Linked DNA regions of Cricetulus griseus. The protein of the gene in region 2 interacts with the protein of the main gene of each other region in a biochemical or structural test. Links are inferred from orthologs where the notes say so. Each region holds a gene or a part of one and is shown on either strand. Other genes may lie near its edges.

Region 1 (3,914 bases), on a different chromosome or scaffold from region 2:
GTTGCAAGTTTCATTGCCCCGCCAGCCTTACCTAAAACTGCGGGAGATGCTCTGAAAACTATCAGCAGTTACAGGGAAGCCACTGAAGACTAAAGGGCCCTTCAAACTAAACAACCAGCTCTCACTATGAAAAGACCAAGAGGACTGTGAAGGCACAAAGCACTGCTCCTGCATCCAAAGATGCCTATCCAGAAAGGAAAAGTTCTTTCCCAGCCATCCTCTACATTTTGAGACCTCTGACCTGCTTGAAGAGGACCAGACTGTATACTTCCCCTTAAATGGGGTAGCTCCACCATCCTGAAAAAGGCGAGAGGACTTGAGAAGCTGGAGCACATGAACCTCCTTTGCCTATGAAGGGCCCTTTCCACCATTCTCTCCAATCTGGACATTGAAATGTCACCTGTTTGTTACAATACAGCTATTTCAACTTCTCATTCCTCTTTGTTTATGCTGTTTTAATAAAGCTGTGTATGCAAAGTAAGTAGACTCCTACTAATACTGTAAATGGTATTTCTTGGGATTAAAGCAGCATAAGGAAATTGAAAATTTGAGTTAAAGTGATACTGGAGGGGCTAGAGAGAAGGCACAGTGGAGTGCTTGCTGCTCTTCTTGACGATTGGAGTTCAATTTCCAGCACCCACACCAGGGGGCTCACAAACACTTGTAATTCCAGGTCCAGGGGATCTAATGCTGTTTTCTGGTCTCTGCAGGCACCTTGCACAAATGTCCACATTTGCTTGTTGATACACACACACACATCAAAAACAAAAAGAAAAAACAGCTGGGCATGGTGGTGCACATCTTTAATTCTAGCACTCAAGAGGCAGAGGCAGGTGGATCACTGTGAATTTGAGGCCAGCTTGGTCTACATAATGAGTTCTAGGCCAGCCAGAGCTACATAGTTATATGCAACACCCACCCCCATGTTATATTGGAGTTGGGTGAGGAACCATGATGCAGGAGGACCAGAAGTTCCAGGCCAGCATGGCTATCCAATTGAATCTGATGTCAGCTTCGGCTATATAGTGAGACCCTGTCTCAAAAAACAAAACAACACTGTACAAATCTCCCAAATCTTCCAACATAAAAAAATGCCAAAACAGCAAAAACTCATCAAGAAGAACAGATGTGTTAAGCTGCAGCTGGCAGAACCTACCTGCTTACAGATTTCAGTCTGGTCATCTGTTCCAAATGCACTGATGAGGTCTTCCTTCTTGGCAACCTGACCTTTGGAAACATTTACAAACACTGAGTGGGTCTGCAGAACTTCATCAAGGTCTTTTTCCCTTGAAAGGGCAGGAGAGAAAATCCTATGTAAATTCATTGGACAGTTAGAAATTCATTCACATTTAAATACAAGATGGCAACAAGATACATAGAAAGTGCTACAAATTGGGTCTGATGTGCTCATCTGAAATCCCAGCATATAGGAGGTGGAGGCAGGAAAATAGGGAGTTCAAGGACAGCCTCAGCTATATAGTATTTTCTTTGCTATTTGAAACCTTGTCTCAAAAAAACAAAACCAAAAAAGAGAAACTGAACACACACACATACACACTCTCTCTCCCAGGGGAGGACCTGTGCAGGAAGAATCTAAAACCTCAAACTCAGGACAGTATCTGTATTTTTCCACTTAATCACAGATTGGGAAAAAAAAAAAAAAACACAAAAACCACGTCATTGTTTTATGTAAGGAAACACAGGGTGTGGTGGGGCGTGGTGCTGAAGGCTTACATCCTGGAATATCTGTCCCTAGATGGCAGTAGTGAAGAACTACGCACTTTGATAAAACTGGAGATTCTAAGGGTGTGTATGTGGCATCTGCTGTACAAAGTTTAGTATTCGTATGATTAGTTTTTCGATTACTATTCCAGGAAAATGACCACAGTAAGTTTCTTTTCTTTGTGATAGTATTTGGCCTATCGGATTCCCGTATTAGTCACTTATCCAAGAAGCCCCTACCGCCACCCCCCCAATTCGGGGCTTCTTGGCTGCACATTTGTTTTGTTTAGCGAGACAGAATCACACACATTAGTTCCAGGTCGGGACTCGCAGCAATCCTCCTGCCTCACTCTCTTGAGCGCTGGGATTAGAGGCCTAGACCATCAGGCCTAGCTATGATGGAGTTTCTAGTTGGCAGTTTTTGATAGCAACAAAATCCCAAACCAGAAGCCAGTTGGAATCAAGCACATCAGGCCTGAAAGGTACCCATTACTCTCAGGGGTCGCGGTTAGGGAGGCCGGGCCTCGGTGTGGCCCGTTCGCTGGACTCTGGGCACAGGATCACTCACACGCCACTCCGCCAGCCGACGACCTTGTTTTTATAGCAGGCGATTTCGAAGCGCTTCCCTGCCCGCTTCATCCGCACCACGGCTACATTGGTCAATCTGATCTGGTTGGTGGGCGTGAAGATCGACATGGCGGCTGCTCACAGACCTCGGGCTCTCCAAGCGCTCGGCTGTTACGACCCCGCGGCGCGCGAACCCCCAAGGGTGCTAGGCTCTTCGCTAACCTACACTTGGGCAGCAGTCACTGCGCACCTGGCTACCCTACTGCGCCTGCGTCAGGCGGCGCACTCGCCGGGCAAAAAGCTAAGAAAGCAACTAAGCCTGCGCCGTGTGGCTTTTACGCCATCCGTCTCCGCCCTCAAAGGAAGGCGATCTTCGATGACGTAATCCGCGCGCGCCCGCAACTCCCATTGGCTGGTGAATAAAGTTCATTGATTGACCCGCTGGAAACATGGTGTTCTTCTAGTTGAACCGTTCTTCAGAATTCAGGAGCGGCATTCATTTTAACCTTTTAAGCAGAGTTTTAGTGGCAAAGGAGAAAAACAAAAGTGTAACGAGCTTCCATCGTCTTTCTTCAATAATTATCAACCTGTTTCCATCCTTATTTTGTCCTCCCTCTTTCGATTTTATTACCGTAAAGCGAATCACCAGGTGTGTGATGGCCCTCGCCTGTACTCCCAGAGTTTTGCAGGAACAGACAGGGTATCAGGAGTTCACGGTCATCCTCGCCTACACAGGGACTTTGAGACCAGCCTGGGCTACTTGAGACCCCGTTTCATCACCGCTGTCAAAGCACATGATCGTATATGGTTTTAGCCTTAAATACTTAAGTATATTCTTAGCAGACACTCCCAGATACATTTACTCCGAAACTTCAGTATCATCTAATATTCACTCCACACTCTACTTTCCACATCTAAACAATGCCCGCTACAGTTGATTTCAGATACAGCTAAGGTGCAAATGAGTCCACACACCTGAACTGCATACTATAGTCAGTGTCCTTTTTTTTTTTTTTTTTTTTTTTTTTTTTTTTTTTTTTTGAAACAAAGTCTCACTATGTAGCCCAGGCTGGTCTCTAACTCCTGGGCGACCTTCCTGCCTCAGTCTCTCAAATACTGGGATTAGAAGAATGGGCGGGCTCCTCCTGCGCCTGGCAGCCTTTAGTCTGTGTTTGTTTTTTCCTCCTAAGATCCCTCTTTCTTTTCTTCTCATTTAATAATCCTTTTGGCCCGGCGTAGTGGCCGGTGCACTCGGGAGGCAGAGGCAAGCTAATCGCTTTGTAAATTCGAAGCCAGTATGTTCCACCATAGCAAGTTACAGGACAGCCAGGGATATACAAGAGAGACTCTTGCTCTAAAGAGTAGGTATCCCGAATCTTGTGATCCTCCTGCCTCAGCGTCAGGAGCTCGGGAATTACAGGCCTGTGTCACTGAGCTGCCAATCATTTCTTTCATTCATTTACTTATTTGAGACAGGGTCTTTCTACCTAGCCCCGACCTACTTATGTATGTCATGGAACTCATTACGTAGACCAAGCTGACCTGGAGCTATGATGAACTCACAGAGATCCGCCTGCCTCTGCCTCCGGAGTGCTAAGATTAACAGTCTGCATCACCACACCAGG
Region 2 (3,914 bases):
CAATACAGTGAGTTTCTTGATGACTGGATGGGAAAATAACTTAGGCTGTAAATAAATTCAGATTAAATAATTTTTTTCTTACACACCAGGTTTTGTAGATTCACACCTTAAAAGTTGTGTTTGCACCCATACTTACATACAATGTTTATTATGAAAAAGGCAGAAAAACTGCTTTCAATCAACATGTATTGTAGGTGGTTGCCCCTAGAAAAGGATTAGAGATACAAAGGGCTTGAAATTATTCATATTTACTTAGCAAAGGTGATCTAATCCCTGGGTCAACAGTAAGGCTGAGGAAAGGGAAGAATGTGTTTACTGGTGGGGGAAGGTTGTTAGGCAGGATTTACTGAGGTTTAAGACTGGGACTACTGCCTTTGTTTGTTTGTTTGTCAGGCAGACCCTATGAGAACGCCGCCTGGACAGGAATAACAATAAGGTTTAGATGATGGAAAGCCCTAGGTTGTAAAGACCTTGGATACTGTTCTTTTAAATTAACCAACAGAAATGATGGGTGGGGGGCACGAACTCTCCCCGTCCAGATTCCATCACTTACTAGCCATATTTGCTCATACTACTTACCAGAAGGACTGTATTTCAGTTTAAATCTCTGAATAGGAAGTCTCGGGGATTACAAAGAGGAAAAGTTTTGCCCCAGGAGCCAGACAAGTAGAGAAAAAGGGGGCACTTTGCAGAGGGTAAGTGGGGGAGTCGCCGGGCACTCGCCCCTCAGGCAAGGAAGTAATGGGGGTTGCAGGGAGAAGTTAGCGGTGCTTACGGCCCCGCCGACCCCGCAGCGGCCGGCCGTTTCTTACCCGCAGGTGCAAATCTGACACAGACACCTGTTCCTCATGCCCTTGGCTCCAGCGTCCTTCTCCGCAGAGCTTCAGGCGCAACCTCAGAGCAGCCACAGCGTCTGCAGTCGTCAAGGCAACCGCGGGATTGCACGATGAAGGGCGTGACGTGACTTCCGGTGGCGTTCAAGACGCGCGCGGGTCAGAGGTCGCAGGCCTGTAGGCCCCGCCTCCCGGCGCCTGCAACTTCCGGCCTGAGTTACTCCTGGAGCCTGAGAGGCGTGAGTGAAGAGCAGCGTGGAGCCGGTGAGTGGGGGGCCTGCCGGAGATGCCGGCGACCGGACGGTGGTGGGGACCTGGGGGCTCGTGGCGGCAGGGCTAGGCGAGCAGGGCACGGAGCAGCTGCACCTCGTAGGAACCTGGGACCCTCCGGCAACGACTCCCGGAGCCCGAACAGAGGAAGAGCTTGCAGACCTCGGTTTGCCTTTTTAATTGGAGAGGGATGGGCGATGTGTCATGCACCTGCTGTGTTCCCAAGCACGAGATCCAAAACTTTTTAAGGACATTCGGTGCAGTCTCGGCTGAGATCCTTAGGTCTGGTAAAAGCCAGCACGCTTGACAGGAGCGACAGGTTTTCGGAGGGGAAGTGGAGAAGAGAGAGATACCCACTTTTCCTGTGGTCGCCTTGAGCCACGGTACCTGGGTGCGAGGTGTCACTTAGCTGGGCGTCTCTGCACTCGGCTCCCAGCTGCGTGATTCATCGCGCCGCAGATCCGGAAACTCCCAGCACACTCCACAAGTGCTGTAAAGGTGTGTGGACTTTGCAGTGAAACTTGTTCTTGGGCTTGCACTGTCCTAACCCGTCAGAGGCAGAAGGAATTAAATGTGGCTAACCATTCCTTGGGGTCTCAGTTGAGAGATCTGAGGCGGCTTGTGAACACCAGCATCTGTCTCTCAGTCCGTCCACTTTTGTTGTTGTTGTTTTCTCCCTGACCCTTAAACTTTGTACCACTTGTAATTTGCATTTAATTTTTTAGTCACAGGATATAAGTAACCATGGTGCTCAATGGCGTTGATAAGATGATTCAACTTCAGAAACACACTGCCAACATCAGAAATATCTGTGTTTTGGCTCACGTTGACCATGGTAAGACTTTTTAAAAAATGGCTTTTTATTAACAAAGGGGATGTTTCTACGTATCATTGGAGTTATGAAAGTGATGCGTGCTGTGTTTTTTTTTTTTTTTTTTTGTGTGTGTGTGTGTGTGTGTGTGTGTGTGTGTTGTCAGAGAAGCATGCTGTAAAACATTTGTAATAGGTTACCTGGTAATTAGCATTCTTCTGCATAGGATTTCATATGCTTTTAAATTTGAACTTGAATCTTTGTTAAAATATGGATAAGTTTTTGAAATGTTAAACATCTACGGTCTTGGTAGAGGGTATCCCCGAGGGACCTTACTTAATTCATCACATACTGAATGAGCATTTGCTAAGTTTGTGGCATTTTGTTACATTTATCAAGAGCTAGACATCTCTGAGGAGCCCAGCTGCCCAGCTGTAGAGGTTTCAGGGATGAATCTGGGCAACATGATGAGATGGGGGAGGGGGGAATTGATAAGAGTTTTGAGAAATGGAGGATTGGGTAGCCAGATTGGGTTAAGAAAAGCTGTCAGATATGCCTTTTGAGAGGAGACTCTAGCTGATAGGTGGGGACAAGCATTTTAAGTGGCAGTGTGTGAACAGGGACAAGAGTGACTAAAGTGTAGATACAGCAAAGGCCCGGTTAGCTAACACTTGTTTGTGGGATTAGGGTAGACATTCCTTGACACCATCAAACTGCTTCATTCTGAGTCTGCTTGCCAGTTGGAACTTTTTCTTCTAGTAGCTGCAGCTCAGTTTAGAATGGCCTGTGAAGTCAAAACCACTCAGCATTTTAAAGGTGAGGGAGTGGCTGGGGAAGAGGCAGGCTAGGTCCTGTCTCTTAGAGCTTTTCAAGCCTGCAAGGCTCTAAGAGAAGGATTAAGTGTTCTAGCTCTGTAGTTAGACATCCTAAACTCTGAGTTCTTTTCAAATTACTTTGCCTATTTGAGCTTCAGTGTACAGCCTATGTAAAAGGATGGTTATGAGAACCATTCAGCAATGAAATACTTAGTCATGAAAATCGTGAGTAACATTTTTTTTATTATTGTGTAGGGAGCCATGGAGGGAAAAAGCAAGCAAGGGTGAAGTACTAATAGATTTGATTAGACTGGTATAGGTGCTTGGGTGGGTTGAAAGGCAGAAAAGAGGCTGGATGACTCTTGGCATTAATGTGAGCTCTGAAGAGAAGGTAGTATAGAAACTGAGATAATGGGTCACTTTGTAGGAAGAACCAGCTGAGATTGGTTCTTTTATATACAAATCAGTGTCTAACTTATCCTATGGGTTTTATGATTATATGCAAGTTTGGAGGATATGAGGTCTAGCCAAAGGTTTTACTTTGTTTCTTTTTCCCTTTCTGTTTCTGTTTCTGTTTTGTTTTTGCTTTGAGAACTAAATAGATTGACCAGTGTGTATGAAACATTGTTGTCTAAGAGGTTCAGCCTTGTTTAGTAATGGGAAGTTCGCATATTTAGAATAAATTCTACTCTGTTGCACAGCAGGAAACTGAGATTCTAGGATTACATACTAAAACACATTATTTAAGATCGTCAGAGGTCCTTTTGAAAAACTGGATTGAAGGAAAAATCCAACCATTTGTTAGGCCTACCCAACTGTGGAAATTGAATGTGTCCATGTCATTCTTTAAACACAGGTACCTATTCATGACTCTTGAAATTGTGTTAACTTTGGCAATAGTCTGATAAAGGTAACTGTAAATGTATATTGATTATGCAAAAACTTTTCTTTTATTGTAAAGTAGATTTCAGGTTTAGTTTTGAAACTGGGTTACATTGGCTGCTCTGGTGTACTGCTCCATAGGCTGCACTGCAAACAACAGGAAAACAAGTTTTCTTATTAAATAAGTGAAACAGTTTAACTAGCAAATGTTGTTGAGGGTCACACATAGGTAATTATGAAAGAAGACAGTGTGCTGTCATTTCCTAGTGACGATTTACCCATCATAGCTTCCTGAGGTAAATG

Evidence for each region.
Region 1: the proteins of Efl1 (region 2) and Sbds interact in a biophysical measurement, tested with the Homo sapiens proteins (2 studies listed by BioGRID and IntAct, with this or other methods). The link is inferred for Cricetulus griseus from reciprocal best matches to the Homo sapiens genes EFL1 and SBDS.

Annotation. Positions count from the first base shown.
Region 1 is NC_048597.1:109,589,249-109,593,162, forward strand, and holds the start of Sbds (ribosome maturation protein SBDS), read right to left. Parts: upstream 2,624-3,914; 5' UTR 2,419-2,623; coding exon 2,291-2,418; intron 1,287-2,290; coding exon 1,157-1,286; intron 1-1,156. UniProt on the Homo sapiens protein: Required for the assembly of mature ribosomes and ribosome biogenesis.
Region 2 is NC_048596.1:114,921,283-114,925,196, reverse strand, and holds the start of Efl1 (elongation factor-like GTPase 1), read left to right. Parts: upstream 1-989; 5' UTR 990-1,097; exon of another isoform or gene 1,098-1,140; intron 1,141-1,828; 5' UTR 1,829-1,847; coding exon 1,848-1,938; intron 1,939-3,914. UniProt on the Homo sapiens protein: GTPase involved in the biogenesis of the 60S ribosomal subunit and translational activation of ribosomes.